4 linked regions of the Saccharomyces cerevisiae S288C genome follow. The protein of the gene in region 2 binds, or shares a complex with, the protein of the main gene of each other region. Each region holds a gene or a part of one and is shown on either strand. Other genes may lie near its edges. The genes, in order: REF2, PAP1, CFT1 and SSU72.

Region 1 (5,591 bases), on a different chromosome or scaffold from region 2:
CAAAGAAATTGGCTACTATTACTTGAAGGGATATAGAATGTGTGTATTGGATGTGCCACTCTTATTTGAAGGAAATCTGGATTCAATATGCGGAGTGACTGTAAGCGTAATTTGTACGCAAGAATTGCAACTAGAAAGATTAATGACAAGAAATCCTGAACTTAGTGAAGAAGATGCAAAAAACAGGCTAAATAGTCAAATGAGCACTGAAGAAAGGATGGCAAGATCTGACTATATCCTACAAAATAACAGCACATTGGTTGACTTATACGAACAGATTGAAAGTGTTGTAAAAAAAATCCAACCTAGTAAATTAAGAACTGTTTTGGAGTATTTCCCACCTTTTGGGGCCGTAAGTGCCAGTAGCATCGTCATGTCCAGATTACTGATGAAAAAACTTCAAAATAAAAAGTCTTCAGCGGTATAAGGTTGATATCTTATAATTACATTATATAAAATGAGTATATATACTACATGTTTATGTATCAGCATGTCATAGCTTAGTGTACTGGTCTTGGAGGATATTTATTTCTTTTTACTATGGGGACATGCTTGTATGGCAAACCACCTCTGTCCTTCCTTAGTAATAAACTATTTTTACCGAAAGCCTTTGCTATAGTCGGGGTTGAGTTCGTATTTCCATTTAAGTCGAATTCTATGGGTTCTCTTGGCGGCCTTTTATTCAAGTCCGGGTTGAAATGATTGAAATTTTTTCTATAGATCAACGGGGTCCTTGTTTCACAATGTATTGGGCCACCTTTAGTCTCGGATATATCCATATAGTCATCACTGTTTGTGTTCTTCAGAAACATCAAATCAAGAGGTTTTAATTTGATTGACATATCCTCGAACAATATAATTTCCTTCGGTTCCCCCTCCTTGAATGGTTTCAGAATTTTTTTCAATTGAGTAGGAGAAACTTGTAGCCCTTGGTTCGGTAGATCGTCACCGTAAACTTTTATTAGTTGGGAATCATCCAAAAATTTGATGCTACTTATGCGTGCTTTTTTCGGTTTACCATTTCTCAAAATCGATTGTACATTAGAGTCTTGCACGGATATTTTGGTTTTTTTTTTTAAGGGCTCTTCTGAAGAAGCAGGAGTCGCTACCGTTGTGGTTGACGATCCTGACGTTGACGAAGATATGATATTAGAAGCCACCGTGGATGCTTCGGGGTTGACTTTGAAATCCACATCTATTGACCGTTTAGTCCCAAGCTTGGTCATATCTGCGTCATCCTTGTTCAGATATTTAGAAAATGATAGTTTTTTCTTGGAAGAAGTAGGTAGAGATTCTGTAGACTTAGCTTCATTTTTATTGAATAAACCCGACTTCAATTTCTTCATTGAAGAGGTAGATGCAGTAGGCGATGGAGAAGAATTTTTGTCATCGTTATTGAGCAAAGGAGAAGGTTTTAATTTAGTTTTCATCTTGACTTTTGATTTATCCTTCTCCTTCTCCTTTTCTTTTTCTGAATCCTTTATCTTTGCTTTCGAACTAGCCAATTTCTTTTTGAGGTTGGCCTTTGTACCAGTACTATTCGAACCCTTTTGGAAACCCAATGTATCTAATAATTTCATATAGGATCGTACATTTTCAGCAACGGAAGTATCCAAGACGCATAAATTGATGACTGCATCTACCAGACCATCCATTTTAGATAATCGATTATGGCTATTTTTATTCAGGATTAAATTGTCAATGTAATTTTTCCTTTCCTCGGGAGAAAACTTAGGCAATTGGTTAACGAAGAAGTCCAGGGAGACATCATTAGCGATGGGCGGTGTAGAGTGGTGTTGTTTCTCATGCTTTAGTTTAATTAGCTGGTTCAAATAATCTAGATACATTGATTTTAAGCCAGAATACAGCTGTATATCTGCTTCAGTCACGTTCTTTTCCTTCCGTTCTATGTGCAAGTTATCTTTGGTAAACTGATTCAAAGCCGCTTGCAAAGAATCGATATACTTGTCAATTCTTGCCAGTTGAATGGAAGATAATTTGCAATCTTTATTAAAATCTACCATATCCAAACGAATTTGCTGGATAGTGGAAGCTTGCAAGGCATGAGAAATATTTACTAATTGAGGAACAGGTGCTGACATTGTTCAATTCTTCCACAGTGTCTTTACTTATCGTATCGTTTCTTTTCTTTTCCTTTCTTGGTCCTTTCGATTTCCTTGTGCCTTTGCTTGTAGGTTTTTGAGCTTTAACCTCACTTACTCACACGATGTCTTGATAAAAGTATATATAATATATATAATAGACCCGCCAAAAGAAACCGTTGGTGTGCCGACGTGATACAGAGCGGTAGAGTACAATACAGTACAAAAGAGTTATGCTTGTTTTGTTCTGCCTCCAACAGTGTATGCTTGTTAACAAGTGCCTCAATCGAATATCATCGATTTTTTATACCGCCTTGAGAAAAACTGACGAAAAACGCTGGCGCCGGAGAGTCGTGTATCGTGATATATCGTGATTTACAACTGGTAATATATAGATGAATACCGTACCCAATTCTGATAATAACAAGTAGGCTGGAGTGATATATGGCACTGTTTTATTTCAAAAAAGCAAATTAGCAACCTCAAAGTGTCTTTACTTATGGATGCTTCAATCATCATCTGTTTCATTCTCCGTCTGTAGTGATATTATAGAAAGAATAAAATTTTCCTATAAAAAGAAGGGAAGTATTGATGGCCACTATGGTGTCTCAGAGTGGCAAGAAAATACCAGAGTTGCACGTTAGGCTGATAAATGTTGACCTCTATATTGATAAAAGGTCGCACACCTGTTCTTGCAAGCAGAAATTTATTAGCAGCTCTCTCGAATTGCAACCATATTACTTGGGCTGTTTCAAGAAGATTATACAATGATGGAAACAGAGATCAAAGAAATTTTGGTAGGAATCAGAGAAACAACAACAGTAACAGGTATAGAAACTCCCGTTTCAATTCTCGCCCAAGGACAAGGTCTAGAGAAGACGATGATGAAGTGCACTTTGATAAGACCACTTTTTCCAAACTAATTCACGTCCCAAAAGAAGATAATAGTAAAGAAGTAACGCTGGACTCTTTACTGGAGGAAGGAGTCCTTGATAAAGAAATACATAAAGCCATTACCAGGATGGAATTTCCCGGTTTAACTCCTGTACAGCAAAAGACTATCAAACCAATATTATCCAGTGAAGACCATGATGTTATCGCAAGAGCTAAAACCGGTACAGGTAAGACATTTGCCTTCTTGATTCCAATTTTCCAGCATTTGATAAATACGAAGTTCGATTCTCAATATATGGTAAAAGCTGTTATTGTCGCACCAACAAGAGATTTGGCCTTGCAAATCGAAGCAGAGGTGAAAAAAATCCACGATATGAATTATGGCTTGAAAAAGTACGCTTGTGTCTCTTTAGTTGGTGGTACTGACTTCAGGGCAGCTATGAATAAAATGAATAAGTTGAGACCAAACATTGTAATTGCCACTCCAGGGAGATTGATTGATGTTTTGGAAAAATACTCCAACAAATTTTTTAGGTTCGTAGATTACAAAGTGCTAGATGAAGCTGACAGATTGCTAGAAATTGGATTCAGGGATGATTTAGAAACTATTTCTGGTATTTTAAATGAAAAGAACTCCAAATCAGCCGATAATATCAAGACTTTGTTGTTCTCTGCTACTCTGGACGACAAAGTACAAAAGTTGGCAAACAATATCATGAATAAAAAAGAATGTCTCTTTTTAGACACAGTAGATAAGAATGAACCTGAAGCACATGAAAGAATTGATCAGTCTGTCGTCATTTCAGAAAAGTTTGCCAATAGTATATTTGCTGCTGTGGAGCATATAAAGAAACAAATAAAGGAAAGAGATTCTAATTACAAAGCCATTATTTTTGCACCAACTGTTAAATTCACATCCTTTTTGTGCAGTATTTTAAAGAATGAATTTAAGAAAGATTTACCAATTTTGGAATTTCATGGTAAAATTACTCAAAATAAAAGAACAAGTTTAGTTAAAAGATTCAAAAAAGATGAATCCGGTATTTTGGTTTGTACGGATGTGGGAGCCCGTGGTATGGATTTCCCAAACGTCCACGAAGTTTTGCAAATTGGTGTTCCATCTGAGTTGGCTAATTATATTCATAGAATTGGTAGAACAGCCAGAAGTGGGAAAGAAGGATCTTCTGTGCTATTCATTTGTAAAGATGAATTGCCATTTGTTAGAGAGTTGGAAGATGCAAAAAATATAGTCATTGCCAAACAAGAAAAATATGAGCCCAGTGAAGAAATAAAATCTGAGGTCCTAGAGGCAGTGACCGAAGAACCGGAAGACATATCAGATATTGTAATAAGTTTAATCTCATCCTACAGATCCTGTATCAAGGAATACAGGTTTTCTGAAAGGCGCATACTTCCTGAAATTGCTTCCACTTATGGTGTACTGTTAAATGATCCTCAATTAAAGATTCCAGTATCCAGAAGGTTTTTAGATAAATTAGGTTTGAGCCGTAGTCCAATTGGTAAGGCAATGTTTGAAATTAGAGACTATAGTAGTAGAGATGGAAATAACAAGTCCTACGATTATGATGATGATTCAGAAATTTCTTTCAGAGGCAACAAAAACTATAATAATAGGAGCCAAAATAGAGATTACGATGACGAACCGTTTAGACGCAGCAACAACAATAGACGCTCATTCTCCCGTAGTAATGATAAAAATAATTACTCCAGTAGAAACAGCAACATATATTAGAAAAGATAAAAAAGGAGGACCAAGAGATGTGGGTTGTATTTTAAATAACAATTCCTCTATTAAGACGCCTGTATTTTAGACCCCATCTTGATTCAATACTTTCACGTGTAAATACCTAGTATATAAATATTAAACAAAAATTTTTTTTCTTCTCCTATTCTCTTAAAATGATAACTATACGAAGATCCTACTGGTATATTTATTCGTCAATGCTTATTTACGACCGGTACCTCCATTCTTACTTTCGCTCTTCCTCCTCTCAAAGGAAAAGTAATTCTAACATTGTAATTCTTATTTAAACGGATGGAAGAAAGCTTTTGAGAATTTACTTGAAAAGTCAGGGTGTCTTAGGCGATTGATCACGGACATAGCCATATTACGAAAACTTCATTCTGAATATTGCCAACGAGACAATCGTGGGCTTGGTAATCGTTGAAAAATTTTCACATATTTTATGAACAGCTGAGCCTATTAACAATGAAAATAGTCTATACGATAGTCCAGAACTGAATAACAGTGTCAATCACTTTTTTTTTTATGATTAAATCCTAGTTAAAGTGCCGCTCTGCGAAAGAAAAATCAATAAATACCATTTGTTAGTGATCTAGCAATAATATCAATGACATCTTGTCTTATCTTAAAAATAAACAAAAAATTCTTTACAGTGTACTGAGCATTAATCTGGCTACGGCCTGGAGGGAAATTATGTCTTATACGAATTTTGCTCCGGCAATTCTATTTACGCTGTTTAGCTTATCATGCGATTTCAACCTTCTTTATATAGTAAATTAGCTTCGAAATAAAAGTATTCGCGAGAGGACAAGACATGAAACCTAAACCAC
Region 2 (4,315 bases):
AACTGGATTTGCTCAACCGGTGCGAATCAGATCCTACGGTCAGTTTTTTGGAGCCCATTGTAACTTCTTTTAGTATATCTGTGTCAATAAAGGTACAGATTGCATGAACTCACACTTCATGTAACTGTCAGACGTAATTCTCGAGATAAACGTCTCGTTGAAGCTTGTTTTGTTATATTTGTCAATCCTGGGTCCCCTATTCCGTCAGAAAAAAAAAAGCCTAAATATCTGGCCGAAACTCGGAAAGGAAAAGGTTCCGTTCCTTTCCCAGCCAATTTAACTATGCCTTCAAAGGTATCATCCTGACATCCAGCTTGTAACACAAAATTCTCACCTAATGGTAAAATGTCGCTACACGCGAAAGAGCATATGTAGAGAGAATCTCGTAAACGTTTTACTGCTTCGTAAAAAAAGTACTTTGATTCAAAAAAAAGGGTACAAATTTGTTTATGACTGATTAACCTATATTAATAAACTATTCAACTATAAATAGGAATGTCTTAGTTTACGTCAACAGCTGCGGTTGTGCCATTGATGTTGTCACCTGAAGCAGCATCTGATTTAGATCTCTTCACGGTTTCATGTCTAGCATCTAAATTCTTCCTTTTACTCTTCTTTGATGGTCTCTTTTCATTTTCATCGAAAACTTCATCTGGCAAATCGTAACCCTTTACGAAGCGGAGGGCTAGATTGAATACTTTGTGGTCACCATAATCCTCATTGAAACTTCGACATAAATTCACAAATTCAGTGCAGGGAATGTGAATGTCAACTTTTTCCTTTTTGTTTTCAATATTAAAGTCAAGGCCTATGTACATGGTGCTTAAATATGCCTTTGGTGCATCTTTAATACTTTCTTCCTCTTTATTTTCATCTGTTACCAGTTTAAGGGCGTTCAGTGCTGTCTCAGTTTTATGACTACCGTATTTGTCTTGAATCATTTCATAGTCATCCTCGGTTGGACAACAATAACTACTTTCAAAGGGTTTGGTGAAAGGATGTGCAATTTTTATTCCAGCTAACACCTCCAGTTTCATAACTAGAAGCCTTACCTTACTTTCAACAAGACCACTCCATTTTAAATGCTGCTCGTCACTGCCCCTTGTATATGCAGTAATTTCTAAATAGAACTTGTATCGAAAGAAAAAATCGTTTTTTTCGAATAAATTGGCCCAGGACTTCTTATTGGAAAAAATATCATTCGTAATTTGAACGCCTCTTACGAATTCCTGTAAAATGACTTTTTTAGTAGATTCCGTGATGTTATGGGTAGCACACATTGATGGATAAGCTGGTGTAATGACGGGCATTCTATGAGACCTGTCTTGGGCATATATCTTTGGATTCCATACACGAACTTGTAACGGGCCATCCTCAATTGGTTTCAAGATAACAGGTTGTGGCCAATTCCATTCCGACAAAATGATGAAAAATCTGTTCAATATAACTGCGCTACAGGCGTTAGGGTATAGTTGACAAATTCTAGCCACTAGCATGGCCCAAGCCACACCACCAGGAAAACCAAAAATATTAGCATAAACAGCCCTTCTTTGGGCCCATAGCTTAATAGCTCTTAAAGCGATTCTGAAAACATTCGGCTTTGGTACCAGTTCTAATATCTCATCTGTTACTCTGGTACCATTCAAAGCTCTCAAGTCCTTCTCGTCTAGATTTCGCAGTAGATTTTTATCTGATAAAGTCAAGGATAAAGGCACTTGAGGTTGGTCTAGACGTGCACAGATTAAATCGATAGAAATACCACTGAACTTTATCTTGATAATCGGGACAAACGCATCAGGTACAGGTGCAATTTCATCCAGTTCCTTCCTCTCTCTCAGTAGTGAATCAAATACCGTAAAAAAATCTTCCCGAGTTACATGTTTTGGAACAACTACCAAAGTATCGATATCACTACCAGGCCCATGGACTCCTAGTCTATAGGACCCATACGTAAAAATCTTCCCACCAGCATCCCTTGCCATCCCGTCTGACATATTTTTCTTCTTCGATACTTCATAAACAAATCTTTGTGCCAATTCCTGCAATATTTTCAACACTTGTACCCTATTGGCAGTTTCTTGCTCTGTTTCGAACGATCCTTCCTTTTTCAGTTCTTGGATTAAACTATCATTTAATTTATTTTCTGCTGCTGTGGCGCCCACGGTGGAAACAGGTCCAGTAATACCAAAAACCTTTTGAGAGCTCATTATTTGTCTAAAAAAAGTTTATGCGTTAAATATTTTGCTAATTCTAGGCCTCTTTTGATTCAAAAAAGACCGTTTAAAGACTTGCTCACAGTGAAATTATTTAGCTAGTTTAGTGTCTTTAAACTTTTGCTAAAACGTTTCACTTGAAAAATCGTTCTAATATCGTCCAGAGGATAGTATGATAGCTTCAGAGAATTCGATAGATACTTGAATCCTCTAATAGTCGAAAAATGCTCGAGGGTAAACCACTTGTGCGCTTGGACTGGCCTAGTTTCCAAAACCAATGTTCTAATGGATTGATTTCTTCCCCAAACATTATTAAGTGGCCGGGTCACCCAAAGACTTGGGCGCCGTTGATTCGCGTCGCTTTGCCATCAAGAGAACAACATATCTTCCAAGACAGACCGAGATAATTCATCTATTTACTCCTAAAAAAGAATTAGAGAGGCCTTTTATAGCACCAAAATAAGGACCGTACGAAAACTGCACATTTTATATTATCAGATATCATGGATGAGCATTTAATTTCTACTATTAACAAGCTTCAGGACGCTTTGGCGCCCTTAGGAGGAGGATCTCAATCTCCTATTGATTTACCACAGATCACTGTTGTCGGTTCCCAGTCGTCAGGAAAGTCGTCCGTTTTGGAGAACATTGTTGGTAGGGATTTCTTGCCAAGAGGTACTGGTATTGTCACCAGGAGACCTTTAGTGTTACAATTGATTAATAGGAGACCAAAAAAGTCAGAACATGCTAAAGTAAACCAAACTGCTAATGAATTGATTGACTTGAACATCAACGATGATGACAAGAAAAAGGATGAATCAGGAAAGCACCAGAACGAGGGACAATCTGAAGACAATAAAGAGGAATGGGGTGAATTTTTGCATTTACCTGGTAAGAAGTTTTATAATTTTGACGAAATTAGAAAGGAAATCGTCAAAGAAACTGACAAAGTGACAGGTGCCAATTCAGGTATTTCTTCTGTGCCCATTAACTTGAGAATTTATTCTCCGCATGTTCTTACTTTGACGTTAGTGGATTTGCCTGGGTTGACGAAGGTTCCCGTAGGTGACCAACCTCCTGATATTGAAAGACAAATTAAGGACATGTTGTTAAAGTATATTTCGAAACCAAACGCTATCATATTATCTGTTAATGCCGCTAACACCGATTTAGCCAACAGCGATGGTTTGAAGCTGGCTAGAGAGGTCGATCCAGAAGGAACGAGAACTATTGGTGTCTTGACAAAAGTCGATTTGATGGATCAAGGTACAGATGTCATAGATATTTTGGCTGGAAGAGTCATTCCTTTGAGATATGGTTATATCCCAGTTATCAATAGAGGTCAAAAGGATATTGAACACAAAAAAACAATCAGAGAAGCCCTTGAAAACGAAAGAAAATTTTTTGAGAACCATCCCTCTTACAGTTCTAAAGCTCATTACTGTGGTACACCATATTTGGCTAAAAAGTTAAACTCAATCTTATTACACCACATTAGGCAAACTCTGCCAGAAATCAAAGCGAAAATCGAAGCCACATTGAAAAAATATCAAAACGAACTTATAAACTTGGGCCCAGAAACTATGGATTCAGCTAGTTCGGTTGTTTTGAGCATGATTACTGATTTTTCCAATGAATATGCCGGTATCTTGGACGGTGAGGCGAAGGAGCTTTCCAGTCAGGAACTTTCTGGTGGTGCTAGAATTTCTTACGTATTCCATGAAACTTTCAAAAATGGTGTAGACTCTTTGGATCCATTCGACCAGATCAAAGATTCTGATATCAGAACCATTATGTACAATAGTTCAGGTTCTGCCCCATCTTTGTTTGTCGGTACCGAAGCTTTTGAAGTTTTAGTTAAACAGCAAATTAGAAGATTTGAAGAACCATCTCTACGTTTAGTTACTCTGGTGTTTGATGAACTTGTTCGTATGCTAAAACAGATTATTTCACAACCAAAGTACTCAAGGTATCCTGCTCTAAGAGAAGCGATTTCTAATCAGTTCATTCAGTTCTTAAAGGATGCTACTATTCCTACGAATGAGTTTGTTGTCGATATCATCAAAGCTGAACAAACTTACATCAATACAGCCCATCCCGAC
Region 3 (8,072 bases), on a different chromosome or scaffold from region 2:
TTATTCATTTAATTATCAACAAAATTGCAATGTTGTTAAGTGATTATACCAAGAATTGTAAAAAGCAAAATAAACTCATCGAAAATCTGATTATTAAAATTAAGACAATCTCCAAGTATATCAAAAATCTTGAGGAGAATAAGGTAACGACTAGCGCCGATTCAAATTATTCCATTAATAACGGATTTTCTGGCATATCTGCAGAGCAGTTGATTAAATTAAATCACGAGTTGAGTAAAATTTCAGAATCTCTGATAAAAACGGATTTTTATGAACAGAGGAAAAATAGCACAGTTTCTAATGGAGTTTTAGGCGCAGCAGCTCCTGTTGATAGCGACGCAAATTCGGATACTTTCGGTTTAACAAAGGAGAATTTCAACGAAGTTTTTGAGGCTATTCGTAGCTAAAGCGACTCAAACAAATTAAAGAAGAAGTTGAGACTTTTATAGTATTTATTATTTAATCTGAGGATTTGTATTATTTTTTTATATAGAATGAATAAATCAGAAAAAGGAAATTATGAAAAGAAAAGAATGAGGAGAGTGGGAGATATTTAATGTTGTTAGCTATTTATCTGTATGGAAGTTATTACCTTCTTTTAAGATGGTACAAATAGCATATAGGTGGGTTTGGTATAAAGATCATTTAGTTTTTGTCATAGATTTTTCAATTGTGCATAGGACCAGTTTATGTTACCTCTATCATACTTATATTTTTTTATATACAAATTTTTAAATTACCGATATTATATATAGGCACCGATAGTATAGCCCACCAAAGCGCCCAAATAACCTCCAACAACAATAGGAATTGGCCAATTCTGCCAATCTCTATCCCAATCCAAAGGAATGACAACACAACTAATCCAACCCCCTACAACGATAAAGATAAAATACTTCTTCCATAATCCCACTTTGAAATCACAATTAAATACAGAATAAACTGCAGGGTATGCTAAAAATGCAAAATGCAGTGACAACAGCCAGGTTTCCCACAATAAGTCCATTAATGGCGCACCAAATAATATAGTTAATAACATTGTGGGAAAGCTCAACAAAAATGTAACACCTAGACAAATAATGGTCAATGAGTAATTGATCTTAATGATTTTGTTACCGTAAACTGTGCATTTATTGAATTGTAAAACTAAATAAGCAACTTGTGTAGGAATCAAAAAACTTAGCAACTTCACCGTATTGAAATTTGAAGATACAAAAACGTAGTAATAAAGTAGTGCTACTAAATGGTATGGAAATGTCATCAGAGGGGTTTTCCTCACATACACAGGTGGACGATCATGATCTACGTTCTTTTTCTCACGATTTTGGTGCGTTGTTAATGTTGTGTCATCGGAGAATGATACGGTTTTTTTCACTGTCTTTCTAGTCCTTTTTTTAGCTGGCATATTTAAATTGGACCTTCTTTAGTGCACTTGTTTATGTTCCTGCAAAGTCTTTGATTAAAGGCACCGTTTGCACTTTTGCTTTATTTCACTAACTGTTCTTTATTTGTTTTTTTTGCTGTGCAAAAAGTAACTTTTTCCTCATCCCCGCGTTACGTAAATAGTTCCGAAAATGTACGATGATACATGCGTTATTGTTACAAATCTAGTGTTTCAAGTAGTGGTTCTTATTCACTACTCGAATGCCTAGTGATAGATAGATGTATATATCGGGCTAGTTAGCATTAAATATCCTTTATATGTATTGTTCACTTACCCTGGCATAAAGATCTCATTGAAAATTCAATATTTATGATATCTCTCCATGCTTCAAAATGCGCATGTCTTCCTGCTTTCTGCGCAATGCTTTTCCGTCTATCAATAGCTAATCCACAGAACCTCCGTATAACGTTGAAATCAAGCATAGGCCTCATAGAGTGACCCATCTGATAAAAGTCGTTGGCCAATCTTTCCATGCGAGGGTTTAAACCACCTAGCTGTAATTCTCGATCGATGATTTGTTGTTGAATCACATAAAGTCTTCTGTATTTTTCCTCACTTAAAGGAACTATCTTGAAGACTGACCCATCCACTTGGCCACCAACGTTTTGAAACGATGGCACTTGAGGAGAGCCAAATTCCTCGTTTCTTGGTAAAAGCATCATACAACTATTGGTGGAATGCAACGTGAAACTGGAGCAGTGGACTAAACGTTGACCCGAAAGAGAGTTGGGTTCATCTGGCGCATATTTTAAAACATGAACATTTCTGTCAGCATCTGTTGCCGCAAAATACATATCCCCTCCGTTCACTAAAAACTCTAGCGACATTGTTTGAAATTTCGACATACTTCTGCCCAATGAAATCATCCTGTATGGTTCTGCGTCAAAACCAATAAATTGGAACCCCTGCATAGCGTCACCAATTATCAAAAGATTACCAAAGCTTTTAGAATCCGTAACGAAAACAGGAATATCCAAAAATGCCACTGGTATGACGGAATTATCTTCTTGGATATCTCTTACTAGAACTTTTTGGCTTTGACTAATCATGAATCTTCCACTAACCTCACAAACAGTAGATACAGTACCACTGACCTCTTCTTGAAAAATTTCCTTGAGCTTATAATTGGTATCAGGTTTACCAGGTTCGGGAACAACTTCTATCACATCATAAATATGGAAAGCGCCAGTTGGTGGAGTGTCTTCAGTGGTGGCATTGGCAACACCGGCTATAATGTATTCTCTTTTCCTCTTAGTTTTTGAATTAATTTGAATCATAGAGGATCTCATTTCATTGACGACAGAATTCTTTGGAAAGTCGATTTTATCAATGACCTTCCAACTTTTTGGATTAATGAGTAAAATTCCACTTTGAAATCCTTCCGCATGAGGAACATTCTCGTCATAACCAATTACTTTTTCGCCATCTTCTCCTAATGCTTCGTAAGGAACCCGCTTGCAATAAGATACAAGAAACAATTGAGCCCTTTCATGATAGACTAGTTTTTGCAGAGTTTTGTAGTCATCAAGCACATTGCTGATCTTTATCTGTTTCAATGGTAATTTGTTACCATAGTACATATTGTCAGTAGTTAGTGTGTAAACTCTGGCGTTTTTAATATCATCTACACACATGACTGAACGCTCGCTCCAGGGAGTGACTGAAACCAATGGTATGTTTCCGAATTTGAAAATCTTCGGTGTGGAATCATCTTCTTTTATTAATATGTATGGAACGCTACCGGTTACAAATATTACCGAATAACCGTTGTAATCGGGAAAGTAATGCATGATTCTTTCGATGGAACTAACACCCTTGGCGTATGCATTGTCAGGAGCACCAGTAATAGCTAGATCATTTCTTGTAACGTTTCTATAAAATCTACTACGTCTTTGTGGTAATTTTCTATATTGGTAAATCTCTCCTCCGAAGGTTAATATTGTCAGGTATTCTTCTTTATTGTCATGGCCCAGTTTGTTTATCATTACTTGTTTAATCGATGGATCAGGGACGATCTCATCGCCCAGTTGATAAGTGCTAATGTATAAAGATTCATTTAATTGGTCAACACCATTTAGTTGAAAGATTCTGTCATTATGGTCTTTAGTAAAAAAGATAATTTGGTTATCTGCAGTAACAAATGTAAACAATAACTGTTCTTCTTGAGACTTACTCAACCCAATCAAAAATTCATTACACATATTGCTTTTCAAAATCAAACCAGATGTAATAACCATTTCATTCAAAATTTCTGGCAAATCAACTTTTAACAATTTTCTTTTATTCTTTTCCTCCAATTCAAATATCTTAATATCACCCCTTGATACGGTAACTAGTATATACGGATCCATGACGGAAACATGAATAACTTCGTAGTCAAATTTAATTGTGGTGAGACGTCTAAAATGTGTATCATATAAATATAAGTGATTGGTGGTGACTTGTATTATTCTTTTTTCTTCACCAAACATTGAAATGTAAACTGTAGTAGCATCTCTTCTTAAACGGCCGCCCTTATGAAGTTTGAAGTTATTGTCACTTTCATATATGTCACTCCGGGATTTTGTGGAATCAGTAGTTATTAAGTACCTATCTCTTCCTTTGATCTTCAGATTCCAGATTTGTGTTATACTGATAAATTTCAATGCTAATTCAATTTCCGGTTGAACACTAGTCTGTATGACGGTCAAATGAGAACCTGAACCATTTCCCGATGTGGCAACTAGCGAATACTCGTTTTTGTTTGGATTTGGTAGTCCTTTTACCACATCATCAATGGAAGATACCTTACCTACAGTTAACGATGTGATGGGACCAACATTCCTTAGAGATGATAACAGTTCGATATCGAAAGGTTGAACAGTTTCCACAGTGCCTTTGGAATCATTAGTTGTTAGTCCATTTTCAGGAGCTTCATCGGCGTATAAATCGTCCATTTCCTCATCATCGTCGTCATTGATATCCATCAAACTATTTGTACCTGAAGATGGATTGTGTGCTTCTCTTGTTTCAATGGTAGATTTCAAATTATTCAATCTGAGAACCAAAGCATTTCCTGAACCAAACCCAATAAATAAGTCCATATTTTTGTTTGAATTGGTGGCATTCAAACGTGTTATACATTTTGGATTGGAGTTCTCCTTCAAAAGATCATTGACTATAGGTAGCTTGAAAATATCGAATTTAATCAGTAACCTGCCCTCTGCTTCCATTTGGATATAGTATATATTGGATTTCAAGTCCATAAGTAGTAGTGTTTCGTCATTATTACTTCCTCCGTTTTTGCTCTTGGACGAAGGTATCCAAATTGACGTAGTGTTTTTCTCCCTGAACATAATTTCCAATGAAGAATTGTTGATAATTTTTGTTTTCTGTAACTCTTTATCAGCAAATGAGTTTAATAATACTGTCGATTGTAAAACGCCAGTATTATCTAGAAATGCCAGTTCATTGGTTCCCACAATGATAGCACCATTCGAAACAGGTACAATGGTGTGTAGATCCCAAGGCAGTTCCTTGACAAATGCTATTGTGGTTGATTCAATCTTGGTGGCACTTTCTGCAGGCTGGATATTTAATGTGAGTATAACGTATTGTGTAGGGAGTTTTGAAATGGTGGTGTTTCCTGCCCAAACAAGCTTTGGTTGGTATAAGAGCGCTATCGTTGGTTTAGTAAAATTTTTCAAGAACTGAATATCTATGATATTTTTGGCGCCTTCGTACAACTCACTCGCTACCAATACCACGCTTGGAGCCGTGAACTTGTCACCTAACTTGGTTCTCTTCCTCTTATTGAAAGTATTCGTCCCTTGGGATTTTTGATTCATGCTATGGATTAATTCACTATCGTCTATGTTCTCGTCCTCATCTTCTTCCTCCTCATCGTCGTCATTTTTATTGACATGGAAGGGTAGAAAAGCGATAATGTCATTATTGAACAGTAAGGCACAAGAACTTCCAGGATCCATTCTCAAGGTGGAAATTTTGGCCAGCTCTACCAACGATTTACCCTTGAACTTTCCTTCGTAGTAATGCAGGCTTAGGGTATCGATTGAGTTTGTTAGCGTGTTGAACTTTAAAATAGAGATTTTAGCGACGCCTGTGCATAAAAGCAGGCAACTTAACGGACTGTCTTTTTGGGGAATGAGGCCTATATCGGTGATCAAGCCATGAAACTTAAACTCATCAGTCAAATACAGTTTACCATCCCTAGTAGGCCTGTAGACAGAAAGGATATTTGTTCGCACCACTAAGAGCTCCTCATAATCTGAAGTAGTAAAATGTGTTGCTAATGAATGAGACACAACAGTAGCGTCAAGCACATCATCATATACATTCATAGGGCCAGTAGCTAGAGTAAAAAGCGAATCTAGGTTAGTACCTGATAGTTTTAATCAGTGAAGTGTTCAAGGGACGGTGATCTTCCTCAATTTACATATGATTGCTTTAACGCTGCTCTGTGAAATATGTCACCTCGAACTTACCTTATATTAAGATCACTTACTACGTTGTCTTATTGGGAGCCGACGGGATGAGGAAGCACAAAATGTCACTAATAGGGCTGGTCAGTGGCACAGTGAATCATAATATATCGGTTGAGCACCAGTTAAAGTATGAACATGTTAAATTTAAGACTCTCACTTATCAATGGTTACATTTTGGTCTAAATTTATTTATTTATGACACTATCAGGTACCTTGGTAAAGGAATTGAAAATAAATAGCACCCACACATCGCATGATGGCAGGAAATGAAAAATTACATCAGCGAACTAATGCTTTCTCGATGAATTATTCATCCATCAAAACGGTCTTTCAAGATTAATGTCTAGTTGCTTCAAAGATAGGCATAGTTTAGGTCATTTTATCAGCTACTGTAATATAGTCATAAGAACGCGAAAATGAAGGATGCTAATGAGAGTAAATCGTATACTATAGTGATCAAATTAGGCTCTTCATCGCTAGTAGATGAAAAAACCAAAGAACCTAAGTTAGCTATCATGTCGCTTATTGTCGAAACTGTAGTCAAATTGAGAAGAATGGGACACAAAGTTATCATCGTGTCCAGTGGTGGTATTGCTGTTGGTTTGAGGACTATGCGTATGAATAAAAGACCAAAACATTTAGCAGAAGTTCAGGCCATCGCAGCTATTGGGCAGGGTAGATTGATCGGGAGATGGGATCTTCTGTTTTCGCAATTTGATCAACGTATCGCTCAAATTCTATTGACCAGAAATGATATTCTGGACTGGACCCAATATAAGAACGCTCAAAACACAATTAATGAATTGTTGAACATGGGCGTTATTCCCATTGTGAATGAAAACGACACACTATCTGTTAGAGAAATCAAATTTGGTGACAATGACACTTTATCAGCAATTACTTCTGCTTTAATCCATGCAGATTATCTTTTCTTACTGACAGATGTTGACTGTTTGTATACTGATAATCCAAGGACAAACCCAGATGCCATGCCGATCTTAGTTGTCCCAGATCTCTCAAAGGGTTTGCCCGGTGTGAATACTGCTGGTGGTTCAGGTTCTGACGTTGGGACCGGTGGTATGGAAACTAAATTGGTTGCTGCAGATTTGGCAACGAATGCCGGTGTTCATACGTTGATCATGAAAAGCGATACACCTGCGAATATAGGTAGAATTGTCGAGTATATGCAAACTCTAGAACTTGACGATGAAAATAAAGTTAAACAAGCATATAATGGCGATTTAACGGATTTGCAAAAAAGAGAATTTGAGAAATTAAAGGCTCTTAACGTTCCACTACATACGAAGTTCATTGCTAATGATAATAAACACCATCTAAAGAATAGAGAGTTTTGGATTTTACACGGTCTTGTCTCTAAAGGCGCTGTTGTTATAGACCAAGGTGCGTACGCAGCCTTAACAAGGAAAAATAAGGCGGGATTATTGCCAGCAGGTGTTATTGATGTTCAGGGCACTTTCCATGAGTTAGAATGTGTTGACATAAAAGTTGGTAAAAAGTTACCAGATGGCACGTTAGATCCAGATTTTCCCTTGCAAACAGTAGGCAAGGCAAGATGCAATTACACGAGTTCTGAATTAACTAAAATTAAAGGTTTGCACAGTGACCAAATCGAAGAGGAATTGGGCTATAATGACAGCGAATATGTCGCTCATAGAGAAAATTTGGCATTCCCACCTCGTTGAAACGAACTAAAAAGTTATAGAGGATTCCCTTAATGATATTTCTTATATAAAACACTACCTTTATATTTCCAGGTTAAATAATGACACATTAAGCATGTTTTGTTTTTTTGAAGAATTGTGCAGAGCAGCTGTTTCTTCCTAATCCACATTAGTGTTCTTAACTCAAAAAAAAGGTAGTTGTTAACAGCTACTTTTTGTGATCCGTTAAAATCCTTCTATCTACTTATAAGCCCTAAATTAAATGAGTTGTGCGTATTTAAAATAAATGTATATTCAACCAAAGATTTGGATATCATCGTTTTTAACAGCCTCTAATTCTTCGTCATTTTCTATTCTGGCATGTTGTTCCTCATCCTCATTTTCATTAAAGTTCACTCGTTGACCTAACAATCCCGCAAAGAATTCATCGATTTGGTCGTCTGACCATTTGTATCCGGATGT
Region 4 (4,813 bases), on a different chromosome or scaffold from region 2:
AATTGTGGAAATGGTATGGGAATCGGATTTATAGATCATCATGCGGCCATCCGGCAACCAACTAGGTATGTACTGATCAGAAATGTAGGTACCAACACTTATAGGTTGGGGGAGTGGTCGAAAATATCCGTATAATGAACTGAACTGAATTATATGTACGACCGATATCCTATAAAGCTATGTATACAGAGGGCAAATAGCAATCATATCGCGCAATAATGGTCTTTTTGCTTCCTGGAACTCTATACGTACACATTTAGAGATTGAAAGTGGCAACAAATCTTATTATATGTTAATTTAAATACGGTGATCTACGCTGCCATCATAGGGCTCATTGATTCATTCCCTAGCTCTTGAAAATGTCAATGAAATTATTACCCGTCTTTGCACCTTTTTTTTTTCTAAGGCGACGAGTTTTCCATTGGCAAGACGTATAAATAGAGAGAAGAAGTTCCATTTAATAGAACTATTTTACAAACATACTTTTAGCGTTAAAATATAGTTTTTTCTTGAATTTTTTTAAAATCCTCATACTTACCTTAAGATATCAGAGGAGATCAAGAAGTCCTACTGATCAAACATGCGCTTCCAATAGTAGAAGGACGTTAAGCATTTATCATTGAACTATAATTGTTCATTGAAGTCATTGATGCAAACTCCTTGGTCACACACACATACGGCGCGGAAGGCGTGTTTGCTGACGTTTCCATTCCCTTGTTTCAATCATTGGTTAATCCCTTGATTCCTTTGGGGATTTTTGGGTTAAACTGATTTTTGGGGCCCTTTGTTTCTTCTGCCTGGAGAAGTTTGACACCAAATTCAAATTGGTGTTAGGGGAGCTGGGGCCTTTCAAAAGAGAGCTTTGTAGAGGCATTCTTTTTGACTACTTTTCTCTAGCGTGCCATTTTAGTTTTTGACGGCAGATTCGAATGAACTTAAGTTTATGATGAAGGTATGGCTGTTGAGATTATTTGGTCGGGATTGTAGTTTGAAGATGTGCTCTTTTGAGCAGTCTCAACTTTGCTCGTTCCCGTTATGGGAAAAATTTTGGAAGGTCTTGGTAGGAACGGGTGGATCTTATAATTTTTGATTTATTTTCAGAAATAAATGGAACATTTTTCTATTTATTTCTTTCTTAAAGTACTGAAACTTTTAAAGTTTCATGCTTCTATTTTCTTCATTTCAGTCCTATATCTGGTGATGTGTTTTGGAATGAAACCTGTTATACGCTACATTGAGACAAGACATTGTCCAGCTTACTAAAAATACAGTGTGTTGTATATCAAGCTTCTTGATAAAAAAATAGCTATGTGGACAACAAGCAAATAATGTGCTTAAGAGAGCCGCAACAAGAAACGTAATATTATATAATGAATATAACTAGGAAGCTATCGAAGACTTGTGAAAGTATTGAAATTTCACGGATAATGTAGGATTCATGAGGGCCGCTTAATGCTTATGCTTTTCTACAGTAATTGACCGTTTTGTTTAGTAATATGAAGGAGCGTATAATGACGGTAGTTGAGAATGTGAGCTTTGCCACTCAGTTAAAATGTCCATTATACAATCTTCAAAGGGAATGTCATCTTTTTCACATTGTTCTATTTTATCATTGAGCATATCAGCTAATTCCAATATAGCTTTGCTACCAATTTTAGCATTTTCATCATCATCTTTAATGTCAACATTAATTACATGCACTATTTTGTTTAATTTCCCACCTCTATTCATCAAATCTTCACAAACGGCATCAAAACATCTCTCTTCACAAGTGAAAACGAAGTCGAAGACTTTTGTACTTTCTTGCCATTTTTCAGGTGCTTTTTTGAGTCTTCTATTACGATCCAGCATTTGCAATAAACCGTTCGACTTGTAACGGTCTGCTGATTGTGATAAAAGATCATTATATATATCATTATAGGGTGTACCAAATGAGTACACATTAGGCTTATCTATCGATAGACCAGGCAGTCTCACAGCTGAACCTGTTCCGTAAGAGCTAACATTATAGCCTGCTTCTTGCAGGACTTTATGCGATTCCATTGAACGATTGTTGTTTGATGCACAAACTGTGCAAAACTTCAAGTTTGAATTGCGATGACTAGGCATTTTGGACTTCGACACTAGTTTATACCACCGTTGTCTTAATCTTCTTACAGGTGGTCTTTAATTCGTGCCGACTGGCCTTTTTCTTTATTATCTTTCGTTTTTTAAGTTCTTTCCACTGCCGCAGACGAAAAATACGTAAAGGATGATCAAACGAATAAGAACAAAAGAACTGGATACCTCAGTTTTAGGGAATATATTAAAACAAGTATATATGCTTATGAACTAGTGAATTCCTTACACTAGCATTTTTCATCAATAGGACTGTGAATACCTACCGTTTCCTTCTCTACAAGGACGCCTTCTACTTCATAATCTGTTAAATTCGCATTAACAGTGTGTGTGTTTCCCATAACAACAATCTTCTGTTTCTTGCAATGAATATCTTGAAAACAATCATATTCGTCTACATCTTCTGTATTTGTTGTGTGTGGGAATATTGCACCAATATCTACGTAGTCTCCCTCTAGTACTCCGAGATTTTCATTATTGCTTGCATCTTTCTTCATTGAGTTAGAACTTACACTTTCCACGTCATCCATACTACAACTCACATCAAAGTCATCCATTCTCTTAGCAAGAACATTGATAATAGCAGATTCTGCAACTTCTAGCTTCCATTGTTGCCAGTCTTTTTCGCCCTTAATCAAAATACCAATGAGCATCGAGGGATCCATTTCCGATAGTTGCAATTTACCAAATTTACTGGTATGGCACGACTCTACAAATGAATCTTCTACTGCCGGTTGAGGAATATGAGGATCGAAATGTAAAAATTCATTTCCTTGATAACCAAAAAAATACAACGATGAAGACGGCCTACCGCCGGCAATGCCTACTGACTGTGTTGAACTTAAGATACCACATATACTTTCTCTATAGCTCTCATTTACCGCATTAATCCCGAGCTTCACGCCCAACAAGAACAATATTCTACTATTTGGATTCTCAGCAAATACTTTTTCAACTTCATTTTCATAGATATCGCCGGATGAAACAGATACTATACAATCATCGATGCCACATTCGGGGAAGCCATATATTAAAGATTGTATACTCCTTGCCGTAGCTGCGGGACCAAACCATTCACCTGGTCTTTTATCAGAGAGTTCTGTACCTGCAGAAACAAAGTTATGTAACGAAAATGGAGCCTCAGGCGTGTCATTAAACCAATTTACAAATTTTGATTCTCTTTCCAGACTTTCGTTACCATTTACCCTGAAATCTCTGCCCAAATGAAGGATTTGTAAGGCATTCCCCAACAAACTTTGTCCTGTCCTTATCATACACCCCCACCCAATATCAGTGTTAAAGCAATCAGGATTTGCTATATAGTCCTCTATTGTACTGATCGGATTTGTACGTACTAATAAATTTAGACTTAAAGGTGAAGGCCCATCTGGCGCCCTTGCTATAGGAACAAATCTTGTCCGATATGTAAAGTTGACCCTTGATTGTACATCCAAAAGAAATTCCTTTGTGTAAGAAGAAATTTCCCTACCAAAAAGAGAGCTTAAAAACCCGTCACTAACCGCTTCACCGCGATATCGACAGTCTTGTTCACATTGTTCAGCGCCAGATTCTTCGTCTCGCTCAGGATATACTTCCCCTAATACTATATAATCATGATTCATAAGAGCAGCCGGTTCTTCGGACGAGCCTTCAAAAACGCCATGAGACACTTTTTGTACCAAATCCATTTTCCACAGTTGTAGCCACCTCTGCATGTATATCACTCCTATACGTGATAAGAAGTCGTCCATTCTTCATCTACTAACGTTATTGTGTGTATATTTTTACTTTTTTCCTTTGAGGCGCTATTGTTGGCAGCTGCAACGGTCACCGCCTAAAGAATAAAAGTGAAATTTGACATTTTACAATTAAATAAGATCTGAACAAAACAACAACAATTAGGCCTGCGCAGAGTTTCTAGAAGGAAGAAGTGATTTAATCGCAGAGTCAAATATAAGCATAAATTGTTGTAACCGTCAAAAAAAATGGCAAAAAGGCATAGTCATTATCAAGGAAGCAGACGTAGGCATGCACGTGGTAGCAATTCCAAGAAAGCTGGCAGGGGGAATGCTAAAGGCATACAAGGCAGAAAGATAAAGAAAAAACCTACTCCCACTAACAGTTGGCATAACTCTTCTATACCACTAGGAGAAGGTGATCTTGATGATGTAGGCGCCGACTTCAACCCAGGAAGAGCATTCATATCACCAAAAACTATAGAAGACTATTATTTTGGTCGCGATGCCAAGAGCCGTTCTATGAAAATGGGTGGTTTAAGACCAGGTAATCGATATGATTCTTCAACTGACCTACAAGCAGGAAGGGCAGCATTCCGCAAAAGACCTATGCAATTTGTAAAAGCTAAGGAAGTTTACGATCCATCCCACAATATGATTCAAAAACTGAGAGCAAAGAACGAAACAAAGAACAGTGAAGAAATTGTCGAAAGGGAAGCAGACGTTTTTGAAGAACCAGGAAAGATGACTTCTGATGTTGAATATATTAACAATGAAGACAGTGAAAACGAGGATGATGATAGTCAGAATTCACCCTCGACGGACCACTCGCTGTCTTCGAATGAAAGCAAAGTTGAAGATGGTGACCTGTTTTTTGTAGATGAAGAGGCTCAGCAATCGCCGGATCTAACCAAAATAAAAAGAGTATGTATCGAGGAAATCGCAAGGCCAAGAGAAGT

What was found.
Region 1: PAP1 (region 2) and REF2 share a complex: the UniProt entries of both Saccharomyces cerevisiae proteins name them as parts of the cleavage and polyadenylation factor (CPF) complex.
Region 3: PAP1 (region 2) and CFT1 share a complex: the UniProt entries of both Saccharomyces cerevisiae proteins name them as parts of the cleavage and polyadenylation factor (CPF) complex.
Region 4: PAP1 (region 2) and SSU72 share a complex: the UniProt entries of both Saccharomyces cerevisiae proteins name them as parts of the cleavage and polyadenylation factor (CPF) complex.

What each region holds. Positions count from the first base shown.
Region 1 is NC_001136.10:845,110-850,700, reverse strand, and holds REF2 (RNA-processing protein REF2), read right to left. Parts: upstream 2,103-5,591; coding exon 501-2,102; downstream 1-500. Other genes in the region: CAB5 (putative dephospho-CoA kinase), read left to right, coding at 1-427; YDR194W-A (uncharacterized protein), read right to left, coding at 2,478-2,630; MSS116 (ATP-dependent RNA helicase), read left to right, coding at 2,755-4,749. UniProt on the Saccharomyces cerevisiae protein: RNA-binding component of the cleavage and polyadenylation factor (CPF) complex, which plays a key role in polyadenylation-dependent pre-mRNA 3'-end formation and cooperates with cleavage factors including the CFIA complex and NAB4/CFIB.
Region 2 is NC_001143.9:441,124-445,438, reverse strand, and holds PAP1 (polynucleotide adenylyltransferase PAP1), read right to left. Parts: upstream 2,208-4,315; coding exon 501-2,207; downstream 1-500. Other genes in the region: oxysterol-binding protein OSH6, read right to left, coding at 1-58; dynamin-like GTPase VPS1, read left to right, coding at 2,717-4,315. UniProt on the Saccharomyces cerevisiae protein: Polymerase component of the cleavage and polyadenylation factor (CPF) complex, which plays a key role in polyadenylation-dependent pre-mRNA 3'-end formation and cooperates with cleavage factors including the CFIA complex and NAB4/CFIB.
Region 3 is NC_001136.10:1,061,064-1,069,135, reverse strand, and holds CFT1 (cleavage/polyadenylation factor CFT1), read right to left. Parts: upstream 5,785-8,072; coding exon 1,711-5,784; downstream 1-1,710. Other genes in the region: RSC3 (Rsc3p), read left to right, coding at 1-407; mannose-ethanolamine phosphotransferase GPI11, read right to left, coding at 746-1,405; PRO1 (glutamate 5-kinase), read left to right, coding at 6,345-7,631; rRNA-processing protein BFR2, read right to left, coding at 7,905-8,072. UniProt on the Saccharomyces cerevisiae protein: RNA-binding component of the cleavage and polyadenylation factor (CPF) complex, which plays a key role in polyadenylation-dependent pre-mRNA 3'-end formation and cooperates with cleavage factors including the CFIA complex and NAB4/CFIB.
Region 4 is NC_001146.8:226,390-231,202, reverse strand, and holds SSU72 (RNA polymerase II subunit A C-terminal domain phosphatase), read right to left. Parts: upstream 2,110-4,813; coding exon 1,489-2,109; downstream 1-1,488. Other genes in the region: ribonuclease P/MRP protein subunit POP1, read left to right, coding at 1-135; cysteine protease ATG4, read right to left, coding at 2,349-3,833; SQS1 (Sqs1p), read left to right, coding at 4,104-4,813. UniProt on the Saccharomyces cerevisiae protein: Component of the cleavage and polyadenylation factor (CPF) complex, which plays a key role in polyadenylation-dependent pre-mRNA 3'-end formation and cooperates with cleavage factors including the CFIA complex and NAB4/CFIB.